Linked DNA regions of Mus musculus: regions 1 and 2 are each reported to be linked to region 3. Evidence: microRNA targets listed by miRTarBase, many of them from high-throughput screens and not tested one by one. Region 3 holds a microRNA gene; each other region holds the end of a gene's coding sequence.

Region 1 (4,183 bases), not on the chromosome of region 3:
CCTAGGTTTCTTGTATGTATTCTTGGAGGAGTTAAGGGTTGGGAAGTAGATTTATTTTCTAAAGATGCTCAGTGTTTGGGTTTCTTTTCTCTTCTTAGGAACTTCAAGGAGTGTCCACCAGTTTCTGGCTATGTGTGACAGGGATGAAACTCCCCAAGGGGTCAAGTACACAGGAAGGACTTTGAACTACCGAAGTCTACCTCATCGTTCCAGAACTGATGCTTCCTGGGGACCAGGGTCAGAGACCAACCAGCACATTGGGGCCAGAGTCCTAACTATGCCAGCATGCAAGCCTCAGCTAACCTACACTGCCACACTACCAGAAAGACACCAGGGCCTTCAGGTTCCACATGCTCAGTCCTGGGGGAATCTTTTCCACTCACCCTCCCATCCTTCTGCTGTTCACCCAGGGTCCCCACCATCCAGCAATCTTCATGTACCCCTTAGGTCAACTTGGAATTCTGGTCCTGTTCTGGGGTCCCGAACACCTGGTCCACGAAGAATAGACATGCCCCCAGATGATGACTGGAGACAGAGCAGTTACCCCTCCCAGGACAGACACAGGAGCCCAGGAGAGGAAAGAATTATGTTTGCTCTATCAAATGCTGCTGGAAGAGAGCAGAACAGGGTGAGATTTCTACAGCACAGCAGGTGGTAAGGGCCACCCTAACCTGCCCTGGAGCTACACCTTCATCCATAAAACTGTACGGCGGCGCAGTGACACCTTGTTTCCTGCCAGTTATGCCAGTCTCATCTCAACAGACTTGGCCATTTCATTCCAGGCACCATATGCCTGTAATCCCAGTAGTTGGGAGGTAGAGATTGGGGAATCAGCATTTCAAGGCCAGAGACTGGGGTAAAAAGAGACTGTTTGTTGTTGTTGTTGTTTTGTTTTAAAGAACAGAACCACAACAACAAAGAAGACATTGATTTTTTTTTCCCCTAAGGGTGTTTGCTGCTTTGAGAGGGAATATTTGAAATTCCAGCTTTAGAGTTGGGGATGTAGCTCAATTGGTAGCGTGTTTTTGTAACATGCACATCAGCCATGGTTCTATCCTTAGAAGTGTGTGAAACTGACCATGGTGGTGCACAACTGTCATCCTAGCACTTGGGAGACAGAGGGAGGAGGATCAGAAGTTCAGGGTTATCCTTGGCTACATAACAAGTTCTAGACTAGTCTGGACTACTTTAGTTCTGGTTCTTTTGGCCCCATCTCCATCAGAGCCCTCATCTTCTGGTCCTACTATACTCCCAACTTACACTCTTTGTTTATCCACCTGTCCATATTACTTAACATTCTTTCTTCCCTATTTCGTATCAATGGAAAAGGGGTATTTATCCCCATAGTCAGGATTCTGACCACGTCCTTAAGGGAAGCCCAACTGCCCAGGTATTATGGCCTGTCAGCCTTCCTTGTGACTCAGACTTTAGGCCTAGAATGTGGAGCTGCCAATACACTGTTTGCCCTTCTGAACAGATGGAGTTGGGCACACTAACACCCCTCCTGTCCTTAGCAGCAGAGCCATTACTACCACTGCTCACTCACCCTTGTAAACTCTCAAGAGTCAGCTAAAGTATTTTAGGGCAAAGCATACTGGTTTTGTAAAGTATTTTTCATTAATAAATCTATAAGATAGTTGTATTTAATCTCTTGTCTTTTACTTTTGTATGTCCTTGCTCTTTTCTTCTGGGGTCGGGAGGCTTCAACATTTATATGAAATGCCTTTGACCAAGTGAAAATGAATAGCCAAAGAGGAATTTAAAAATACAAACTGACCAGGTGTGGTGGCACACACCTTTAATCCCAGCACTTGGGAGGCAGAGGCAGGTGGATTTCTGAGTTCGAGGCCAGCCTGGTCTACAAAGTGAGTTTCAGGACAGCCAGGGCTACACAGAGAAACCCTGTCTCGAAAAACCGAAAAACCAAAAAACCAAACAAAAAAAACAAACTCACTTATGGAGTCAACATATCTTTAAGAGTCTTTCCCTCTTGTTATGGCTGTTAGCGTGTTAACTATCCCTCCCCTGCCTGGGACACTCAGTGCATTACATTCTCCATTCCTCCCCTTGTCTTCTGGGCATTCAAACCACCTTGACAAACTCACTCCCAGTACAGTACCAGCCTTGGTGCCTTTCCTCTCTGCATTCCAGGTGTGTGATGTGACTCCAATCCTTTGCTCTTCCTATTGCCTTGCTCCCTTTCCTTTCCCCTTAAGAGTCAGAATATCTCTGTGATAATGAGAGCTATCTTCACCCATGACACACTCCCAACAGTCTCTTTCCTTTGAAAAGTATTTTGTAGTGGCTGGAGAGATGATTCAATGGTTAAGAGAACAAGCTGTTCATGTATTGGACCCAGGTTCAGTTTTCAGTACCACATAGTGGTTCACAATATTTGGTAGCTCTAGTTCCAGGGAATATAATCTACTCTTCTGCCCTCTATGGAGACTGAACACATGTGGTGCACAGACATTCATGCAGGTAAAACACATAAACACACAAAAGAAAATAATTTGGAAGGTTCCCTTTGCAAAGAATGTCTATTGGGTTTTCCCTCCTTATTTATTCCAGATCTTGATCTTACTGATGAACACAAAGAAACAACAGATGCTGAGAACGTTGCCCTCCTAATCACTGAGGACAGATTCTGAGAACTTGTGTTACTGAGTAATAAGATACAGAGGGCTTTCTTGTTTCATCCTATTTGGATGCTATAACATAGAGACATGGGCCTTAGTAGATATGTTGGCCCCTGAACCATTCAACACTGCTCGTGTCATACACACAATTCTATCTTTTTGGAAGAAGTGTAATGACTGTGCATATGTATGAGGAGGACACATGAAGGCTAGAGTAAGCTGTACTAGTCAGTTCTCTTTTAATACCTTGTGTGCCCTGTGGTTCCATTACTGGGTTTGGTGGCCTATGCCTTCAGCATCTGAGCATCTTATTAATAACTGTTAAGGACCACCTGTACTTGTTTCTTGACCTCTTGGATGCTGGTCAACTTGGATCTGTTTCTGCAAGTTGCCCAAATTCAAATTCCGAGTATGTACAAAGATAAGGAACTAATTTCCTATTTTCTACCTACTTAGTCTCTGCTTTCCATTTTTTTCTATTTCATTTCTTTATTTACAAGTTTTAGTAGATGTCAGACTAGAAGGAGTCTAATTCCTTCTTTCCATTGTCTCCTTCGGCCATGGGGATTAGTCCTAAGGAACTTAAATCACAGTCCTTGGCTGCAAGCACCTTTATCCATTGAACCATCTCTCTGCCTTCAAATTTATTTGCTCAGTGAATTACGAGAGAGGCAATGGCTTTCCAGGGGAATCTTACAGGTTCTCAGGACACCTCTTGGTGTCATTCCCTACTTCCCTTGATCCATTTTGGTTCTTAAATCGTGGTGCTTAGACTTTTCCAGCTGAATTTATGTGCCTTTGGACTTTTCCAAACTCTCAAAGCAAGAGTTCGAATTCTATGCAACTCTCTAGGGCCCCGTTTTGTTGAGACAGTCTCACTTTGTTGCCCTGAGTGGTTAGACCTAGCTAGACTTGAACTTACAGAGTTCTGCCTTCCCCTGCCTCCTGAGGTCTGGTATTAAAGGGAAAATTTCATTTTAAATGATAATGCCACTCTATAGATTCCCTGATGCTTCTTTCATTTTTCTCTCTGGCCATAGTATTATCACTTAGATTTTGTAGATAAATTGTCATATATTTGTCTAGGCCTGGGAAATTCTGAGATCAAATTACACCTCTTCATTTTCCTGGGCTCCAAAGCGGCCAAAAAACCGTCCTTTTTTCCCCTTGCATTTTATCAACAGCCCCTCAGTTTAATCTGCAACCTCTCTTTACTGGTTTGTCTTTCTGCATGTACGGAATTTTCACCTGATCCCTTGGACTGTTTCCGTTTCTGTAGTAGCCTCGGTAATTTTGCTCAAGTCCCTGGAGCTTGTCCCGCCCCCGCCCCTGCACGCGCGATGCATGACGGTCTTAGCCCCTCTGAAGGGAAAGAGGGTCCGCCATGTTCCCCGGCGGCGCCGCCGCTTGGCTCTGGTAGCCGCCGCCCCCGCCCCCAACCCCGCCCGTCCCGGCACCTAGCCGAGCCCCGGGCCCAGCATGGCCGCCCCGGAGCCGGCCCGGGCCGCGCCGCCCCCGCCCCCGCCCCCACCGCCCCCTCTCGG
Region 2 (4,183 bases), not on the chromosome of region 3:
CTGAATTACTGGACTCAGGGTTTAGATCATTTGAAATCTGATTTCCAGTACACTGTGGTCATATTATCTATCCTAAAGTCCCAACCTAGCTTCACTCTCGTCATGAGACAGTCAGAATGCATTTAGCATCATCCTTAACTCAGCTCCATCTCAGGCAGCCACGAAGCACACACACTGAAGGTTTTCACCCCCTGCCTGTGTTCTAAGCACGCTTTCTCTGGCACTCCAGGCTGCAGCCTTTCTCTAGAGTGCTCTCTCTACCTCAGGGTTGCTTGGCTGCTGTGTGGCTGACCTCCACACGCCCTCTCTAGGTCCAATCCCAGGGGATCCAGTGCCTCCCTCTGACCCCTGTGGGCAGCAGACGTGTGCACACTACATACACTGATGTACCTAAAATAAAAATCTAAAAAGTGTCCATGATCTTAAATAAGAACCTCACATAACACCATTTTCTATTCTGAAATAAAATTCAATTGTACTGAGCAAAGAGGCCAAAATAATGTGTACGTCCACAGTGTAATTCCTTGCTAGTGACACTAACTGTCTCCCTGTGCTTTTGTCCTCCCTCAGTACCGCCTGGGACTGACCGCTCAGCCTGAACTCTATCTTCTGAACACCGTGGATGCTGACTCAGTGGTGTCCAGATGACTAACAGCCCAGGAGACCTTAAGAACACTTTCTCTAAGCCCTTTCGGGCCAAGTGCCTGTTAGCAAATCCCTTAGTTCGGAGGTGAGCTTGTTCAAAGGTTTTTGAACAAAGGAGAAGTTCTCCTCACGGACTCAGGGTAAAAGCTGACAGTTGCGTATGGGTCAGAGACCCTTCGGAGGCAGTGGGCCTGTGGCAGCTGTGCAGTCCCTCAGGCTTGTGTCTGCACTTCTGGGGTTTAAAGTGTATCGATATGTATTTATGTGAACCCAAACGTGCCAGTTTGGGTAAGATTTTAAGGTTATAAAACTTGATAGATTTTTACAAATGCCTTTCAGGTGAGTTAGGTCTTTGTTCTATTTGGGTAACAAATGAGAAAGGGACCTTTCTGACGATGAACTTCCCCAAAATAACTCTTGAAGCGCTGCTTTACCACAGTGTGTGTGTGTGTGTGTGTGTGTGTGTGTGTGCGCGCGCGCGTGCCTGCCTGCTTCTGCTTGTGGGGGCCACGGGTTGGCATCAGGTGTCTCCAGTCTCTACCACAGTGTGTGTGTGTGTGTGTGTGTGTGTGTGTGTGTGTGTGTGTGTGTGTGTGCGTGCGCGAGTGCCTGCCTGCTTCTGCTTGTGGGGGCCACGGGTTGGCATCAGGTGTCTCCAGTCTCTCTCTGAACATGGAGTTCAGTGTGTGACTGAGCTAGCCAGCCAGTAAGTTCAAGGATCCTCCTGGCCTCGCGCCCCAACACTGTGGTCCCAGATCAGCTGCTACGCCCAGATTTTACACAGTGCTGGGGACCCAAACTCAGGTCTTCCTGGACAGCAGGTACTTTACCAACTTTCCCCCTTTGTCTCTACATCAAGTGTGTCTGTGGCTGTTGTTCCGTTGGTGTCTGTCCACCTGCCCTTTCTTCCCACTCTACGCGCTGACACTCCACACACTGTCCTCACCCTGTCTCTAAGGGCCGCCCGTATGTGTACCGCTGAGTGTCCTGAGGAATTTAAGCATTTTAAGGTGTGTGTTAGCAGAGGTCTGAGGCTCGCACTCGATGGGAACACAGACCATCAGTTTCACTTTAAGCACCGACACTCCAAACGCGCGTGTGCAGGTAGTGAAGCTTTTTGGTTTTTGCTTTAATCCCAACCAGAAATAATCATCCTTGTTATAATAAAGTTCATGCTTAATAGCTAAAAGCTTTTGTCTAGGGGTGCGACTCATTTGTAGAGCTCTTTGCTTGCCCACCACACACACACACACACACACACACACACACAGGCACTCCTGAACACACAAACGCACACACTCATACTCTAACTGTCTTCTTAGGGAATCAGTTAATCAGTTACAGCACTTGACCTGCGTTCCTACCTGGCAGTACAGTAGACAATACAGCAGGCTAGAACTGAATCATAGCTGCCCACTGTCATTGCCATGTGTGCCCCAGGGGCACACGGCTTATCGGGCACAGGGCCTTCATATTCTTCTTTACTTTTTTGCTCTCTAGGCTCTGAGTCTGTAAACCCCATAGGCTATGTGTGACTTTAAATGTCACATTCATCTTTCAGCATTAAATGTAGAAACAGAGAGATCAGACATTACTCTTTTTGTTTTGTTTGGTTTGGTTTTCTAGGACAGGGTTTCTCTGTGTAGCCCTGGCCGTCCTGGAACTCACTCTGTAGACCAGACCAACCTTAGACTCAGATCCACCTGCCTCTGCCTTGAGTGCTGGATTTAAGGGTGGGAGCCACCACCTCCCAGCTTGCGAGGGCATTTGCTAAATTCACCCTTTACAGCTTCTTCACGTCCACCTTGGGGCCTTTAAAAATTTTTTTTTAATTTTATTTTTTAAAGATTTTATTTAATTTATATGAGTATATTCAGACACGCCAGAAGAGGGCATCAGCTCTCATTACAGATGGTTGTAATGTGGTTGCTGGGAATTGAATCAGGACCTTTGGAAGAACAGTCGGTGCTCTGGACTGCTGAGCCATCTCTCCAGCCCAGGGCTTACCTAGAACTTGTTATGTAGACCAGGCTAGCCTCAGACTTAGAGATCCTCCTGCCTAGCCCCCAAGAGCTGGGGTTGAAAGTGTGCTCAGTTCTGCTTGGCCACAAGGCCACTGAAGACTTAGAACAGCCTTGTAGCCTAGGTCACAGTTCTGACCTTAACAGACAGAAGCAGCAGCAGCTGGGCTGAGCTTCGGTTACCGAAGTCCCTGTGTTTCGGTTTGGTGAAGACCCGTCACAGTCCCAGATGAACCCATTTCTTGTACACCCACCCGACCCTCCACTTCTGTTTCTCAGTACTTCTTTCCCTGGGAGATTATGTGGGAGAAGAAAGACTGAAGACAGAAGCATCCTGTTTTGCGATTCATACAAAGGTGAGGCAGATGAGAGAGGTCAAGAACTCTCAAGGCTTTCTGTAGCTCCTCTCTGCGCTTCCTCTGGGTGCAGGTAGGAACAGAGATAAGATGCCACACATTCACAGGTATCATCTCCCCGAGGCCTCACAGCTTCTTGTCAGCAGAAAGTATAATACATACCAAATCCATTGAAAGATTGACGTCTAAAGAGTGAGCCTTGGTTAAGCTTTATGCCATTAAGAACAAGTATGAACTTTGGCTAGCATTCATGAAACCCTTGATTCAACCCAACACTGAAGAAAAAAAAGGGGGTGGTGGTGGTAATGAGGCCTGTGGTGCGCGCCAGCGTTCCAACACTGGAGAGAGAGCTAAGAGGATCAGAAAGACCAGGCTCACCCTTGGCTTTGTGTCCAGTTAAAAATCCTGCGATTTGATGCTTCTTCTGAACTCTTCAGGCACCAGACATGCATGTGGTACACAAACATACATGCAGACAGAACATACACATTAAAAAAAAAAGCAAAAAAGAAGTCAAAAAATGTTAATGGTGCTGGCAAGATAGCTCAGGAGGTAATTAAATTCACCTGCCACCAGGCCTAATGACCTGAGTTCCATCCCAGAGAACCCCAGGGTGGAGAAAAGCAACTCACAAAATGTCTGATCTCTACGCATGCTGCGGCTCCTGTACACCCGTACATACATGCACAAGTCGTTAAAAGTATAACTTTAACAAAACATTCAGCTTGGGCATGGCGATCTTTGTTATTCAGACGATTGGAGGCTGAGCCAGGAGGATCTCAAAATCAAGGCCAGTTTGGGCCACATGCCAAGATCTTGGTCTTAGGGCACAAGGGACTAGAGAGGTTACTCAGTGGGTAAGAGCACTGGCCACTCCCAGCACCCTCGGGGCAACTCACATCAGTGACTCCAGACCCAGGGAATCCAGTGCCCTCTGGTAGCTTCTTGCATGAGCGCACGCAAAATACCCAAAACAATGAACCAGTAACAATCATAATTTTCTACTATATGGTAACAAGTCTGGGCTTCTGTATATAGTGGCATTATAGAGCAGTATTAATCTGTTTCTTAAAATACCCAAGAACAGGGTACTTTATCAGAAAAGAAGTGTATTTAGCTCACAGTATAGTTCAAAGACATGGGGCTAGCTAGCACTTCTAC
Region 3 (4,183 bases):
AAAGTCCGAGGTGCACTCTACTCCCCTCCTAAACCGGTCCAGTTTCTTGCCTCACCCCCCACCCCCCCCCCACACACACACCAGGAGAGAGCGAGGATACCACGGTGGCCAAATGGGAGTGATACCATCGCGGGGCATCTTCTGGCGTCAGAGGACTGTAGGGTCTAGGGAATGAGCAGTGTGGTTTGGGGCTGCCAAGGGAGGACCCCTGCGGTCCAGGAGAAAAGAACTGAGATCCTAGGACTCGCAAAGCCCCGGAAGGGGAGAGTGAATAAACACAGAACGGGGCCTCACCCTCCCTGCACTATTCTCCCCCAGCCCGTCGCCTGCAGTTCCGGAAAGTTAACCCCTTGGAGGCCAAGCCTGGGGTTACGTACTCCCCTACCCAACCCTGCTTCCGCGTGCGCACCCTCCTCCCGCTCCAACTCCCTGTCGCTTCGTCCCGCCCTCCCCTACGCCCCCCCTCCCCGCTTGCCACTATAAATAGCCTCTTTTCCCGTTTCCTAAATTCTCTGCTGACGTCGGCAGCGCGTCAGTGTGTAGGAGCCGCGGCCGCATGAATGAGCCGCCGCACGAGTACTACGCGCGCCTATAAAAGCGGCGGCGCCGGCCGGGCTGCGGGAGGCAAGCCGGCACTGGTGCGACGCGGCCCGACAGGTAAGGACCACCAACAGTCGGAGATGGGCAGATGCGCGGACGCCATGGGAAGGCGAGGAGGGGACCGGAGGGGCGGCGGGTTGGAGGGGGACTCCGGAGTGAGGATGGGGGGCAGAGTGGGAGGGACGAAGGTTCCTTTCAGCTTGGTGGACCAGGGGCCGGCGGCTGACCCAACCCTATGCAGCACCTGCCGGCACCCAAATGCAGACGCAGACACTATGGAGAAACATCAAGCGGAGAGCCGAGCCCCCGACCCCATTTCCCGAGGCTGAGCAGCTCCTGCGCCATCCTTTCAAGAAAGTGGGGAGAAGGTGCTGGCGTCTCAGGAGACGCGCCCCCTCATTTCTCCCCTGTCCGCAGAGCGGTGACTCAGCCTAGATGGCCCCGACTGACTGAGCCAGGGCGCCCACGACAGACAGACGCACACCTCGGCCCTGCGGCTTTCTTGGGACCCCCGTCCTGCATGCTCCACACACGCCCCTTCCCTGTCCCGTCCCTTCCCGTCCGGTCCCGTCCCGTCCCATCGGACTGTCCCACTGAGCTCAGGACTTCCCGCCTCTGCAAGCGGAGCTGTCCTCTCAGGACCAGGCGGGGGCGGGGCTTCGATCAGGCCGCCCCGCCCTACCCCCACCGCTCCCCACCGCCGGAAATGCCTCCCCGCTGGGACATCTTTGACGTCACAGGACTCTGACGTCACGGTCGCGTGTCTGTCCGCGCGCGCTTGGGAGGAGGTGGGGGGGCCTGAGAAGCAGCAGCACTCTCAACTGCGGGCGACGGGATATCCCCGCCCGGGCAGCGCGCCGGCACCTTGGCTCTAGACTGCTTACTGCCCGGGCCGCCTTCAGTAACAGTCTCCAGTCACGGCCACCGACGCCTGGCCCCGCCCCAGGACCGCCGACCCCCGGCCCCTCCACGCCTCCCTGCGCCGCTGTCCGCGGTGCTGATGCAGTGCAAGCGCCTCCCTCGGGCACGCCTGTTCAAGGTCCCTGTGGGTTGCGGTGGGCGCAGGCCCCGCAGACACTCGCGCCACCCCCGCCGCCCGCGGTGCTGACGTCAGCCTGCAAGCCCCGCCCCCGCGTCTCCAGGGCAACCGTGGCTTTCGATTGTTACTGTGGGAACCGGAGGTAACAGTCTACAGCCATGGTCGCCCCGCAGCACGCCCACGCTCCCCACCACTCCCGAGTTCTGCCAGCCTGGGTTTGGGCAGATACAGAGCAAGAGGAGGCGGGGCGGCGACGCAACATTCGATGTGTCTGCGGAGGTGGCAAGAGGTGTGCTCAGAAAGGCGGCCTTTCAGGCTGCTGTGCATCTACCTCGGTGCAGAAGCAAGATCCGCGGAGTGTCTGAACATCCTCCTCAGAGACTCTCCTGTCTTCCTAGTCGAGGTATCGCTGCCTAAGGTGGCGAGAAAATGGGTGGTTCTGCGATAAGGATTCTTATCTCATGAGTGGTGAACCGATGGGATCAGGAGTCCTGTGAGAAGGAAGAAGTCACTTTTGCCAGCAGAAAGCTGAAGGGGGAGGAGAAGGAAGTTTTATCACACCTTTCTTCCAGAAAACCCTAGGTGAGCAGGTAGAGGGGAAAGGGCAAAGAATCCCTTTCCTGATAGAGCCATAACTCTGTCCCCCAACTTTCTCCTGGGCCATCATTAAAAGGGTCCTTAACACAGCAAGAAGCTGGCAGGCTAGTGAAATTCACCTGGCCCCTAATTCATTGTCTGAAGGTATCAGCCAGCAGTCTTCCCTCAACTGGTCTGTAAGTAATGCATCCCAACTTGAGATCTTCAAACGTGCCCCCAAAAGGAGTACAACCACAGAGACTGCACGTAAATACTCTCTGTGGCTAGGGCTGTTGAGAGACTCTGTCTGATAGGGTAGAAATCCTGAGTGTAATCAAGATGCAGAAAACAAATAGCAGGGATAATTTGAAAAGAGGACAGCCGGACAGTGGTGGCGCACGCCTTTATTCCCAGCACTCGGGAGGCAGAGACAGGCAGATTTCTGAGTTCGAGGCCAGCCTGGTCTACAAAGTGAGTTCCAGGACAGCCAGGGCTATACAGAGAAGCCCTGTCGTCTCGAAAAAAACCAAAAAAAAAAAAAAAAAAAAAAAAAAAAAAAAAAAGAAAAAAGAAAAAAAGAAAAGAGGACCTTTTGCAGATGGAACCCATCAGAAGATGTGGTTAGAAGGTTGACTATATAATGCTTTGAGTGTTCGTTGTCCTAGAAAACATTTAGTGTAAACCATGCCTTCTTTCCCAACTTTACACATTAGAAAGCAGAAGCCCAGGTTGGGCATTTAGCCTATAGAGAGCGGTAGTTTTTGCTTGCTTTTTACTGGACAGCAGAAAGACCAACCAAAACCAGGAGCTGCAGTGTATACCTGCAGTCCCAGTTGCTCAGGAGCCTAGACAATAAATATGAGATAAATATGAGATTCGTGTCTCAAAGGGGGGGGGGATGATGACAACAGACAAGAATATGGGGCTTTTGAGTCTGAATCATCCAATTTTGAGTAAGGTACTTAGCCTTTCTGTGCCTGTTTCCTCAATTGTAAGACTCAGTTATTAGGTTAATGACAGTACTTTTTCATGAAATTAGACAATGGGGGGGGGGGGGGACAGGGGTGCTGGGCATAGAGCTCAGTAGTAGGTCTGTGCTTAGCATGCCTAAGGTCCTGGGTTTGATCCCAGCACCAAAAATAAATGAGTTAGGCTATGGTAGAGCATGCTCTGAATACCAGATCTTGGGAGACAGAGATAAGTGGATTTCTGTGAGTTCAAGGATAACCAGAACTTCCGTGAGACCCCCGTCTCAAAAATAAGTTAGATGACAGGCTTCTATTTGTCTCATTGTCTGGTATAGTTAATTCTCAATAAATGTTATTTCTACCTCTGGACCTTATCCGCCTGGGCTGTACATAAATGTTAGAGCATTGATTCCTCGGGGGGAGGGGGCTTCTTTTTCTCCCCAGAGGGTTTTGAGTCCCACTAGAGGCTCTTTCCTAATACCACATATTTACCAGAGACTTAAAATTCTACCCAAGACTGTAGTTTGCAAATAGCTACATCAGGAATGACCAGGGGCAGACAAATAGGTCTATAGTTTTCTCTAGGAACTCCAGGTTTAACAAGTGTTCCTTGTGTAGGTGGCCCCCAGGGATGTGCATGTGGTAGTTCATTCCGCATGGTGGGAAGTAACTCTCCACTTGTTGGGACTCGGAACTGTTCTGATTCTTGGGAGGGCTCTTCACTTCAGACATGGGCCCTTCTGTGTGTTCCACCTAATAGAGCTCTGCTTGAACCCTCTCCTCCCTTTTTCCTGGTAGAGCCAGGGCCTACAGACCACTCACATGAACCTTTGCCTTTATTTATAGGGCTACCAAGTACAGGTCATCCTGTCCCCCAGCTTGGAGCTGACACAGGGGGCTGCCTATGACTGCCAGTGGTCTGAGTACTAACTTGCAAACCCACCAATTAGTTACAGAAAAGCAAATAGACCAAAGGGTTTATAAAATTCCACGTGTTCAA

The links. The annotated mature microRNA mmu-miR-212-3p reads UAACAGUCUCCAGUCACGGCCA and lies in region 3 at 1,503-1,524, shown strand. An mRNA with a match to its seed (bases 2 to 7 or 8) in the 3' UTR can be bound and repressed. Matches are read on the target gene's strand: a 7mer-m8 pairs with bases 2 to 8, a 7mer-A1 pairs with bases 2 to 7 and ends in A, and an 8mer does both.
Region 1: the mRNA of Usp54 is a reported target of mmu-miR-212-3p. Seed matches in the 3' UTR shown: 7mer-m8 at 866-872.
Region 2: miRTarBase lists Slc11a2 as a target of mmu-miR-212-3p. The part of its 3' UTR that is shown has no 7-base or 8-base seed match.

The regions. Positions count from the first base shown.
Region 1 is chr14:20,546,376-20,550,558 of GRCm38, reverse strand. It overlaps Usp54 (ubiquitin specific peptidase 54), which reads left to right. Exons shown (of 21, transcript NM_030180.2): 21 at 99-1,647. The coding sequence ends at 658. Ppp3cb (protein phosphatase 3, catalytic subunit, beta isoform) reads left to right here and starts at 3,986. Exons shown (of 14, transcript NM_008914.3): 1 at 3,986-4,183. The coding sequence starts at 4,119. The region is part of intron 1 of 1810062O18Rik (RIKEN cDNA 1810062O18 gene); the gene reads right to left.
Region 2 is chr15:100,385,549-100,389,731 of GRCm38, reverse strand. It overlaps Slc11a2 (solute carrier family 11 (proton-coupled divalent metal ion transporters), member 2), which reads left to right. Exons shown (of 17, transcript NM_008732.2): 17 at 571-1,834. The coding sequence ends at 648. Among named protein-coding and RNA genes, the nearest start is that of Higd1c, 23 kb to the right of the region's middle.
Region 3 is chr11:75,171,941-75,176,123 of GRCm38, forward strand. Mir212 (microRNA 212) reads left to right here and starts at 1,448; the gene lies at 1,448-1,538. Ovca2 (candidate tumor suppressor in ovarian cancer 2) reads right to left here. Exons shown (of 2, transcript NM_027136.3): 2 at 4,003-4,183. It overlaps Mir132 (microRNA 132), which reads left to right and starts at 1,742; the gene lies at 1,742-1,807.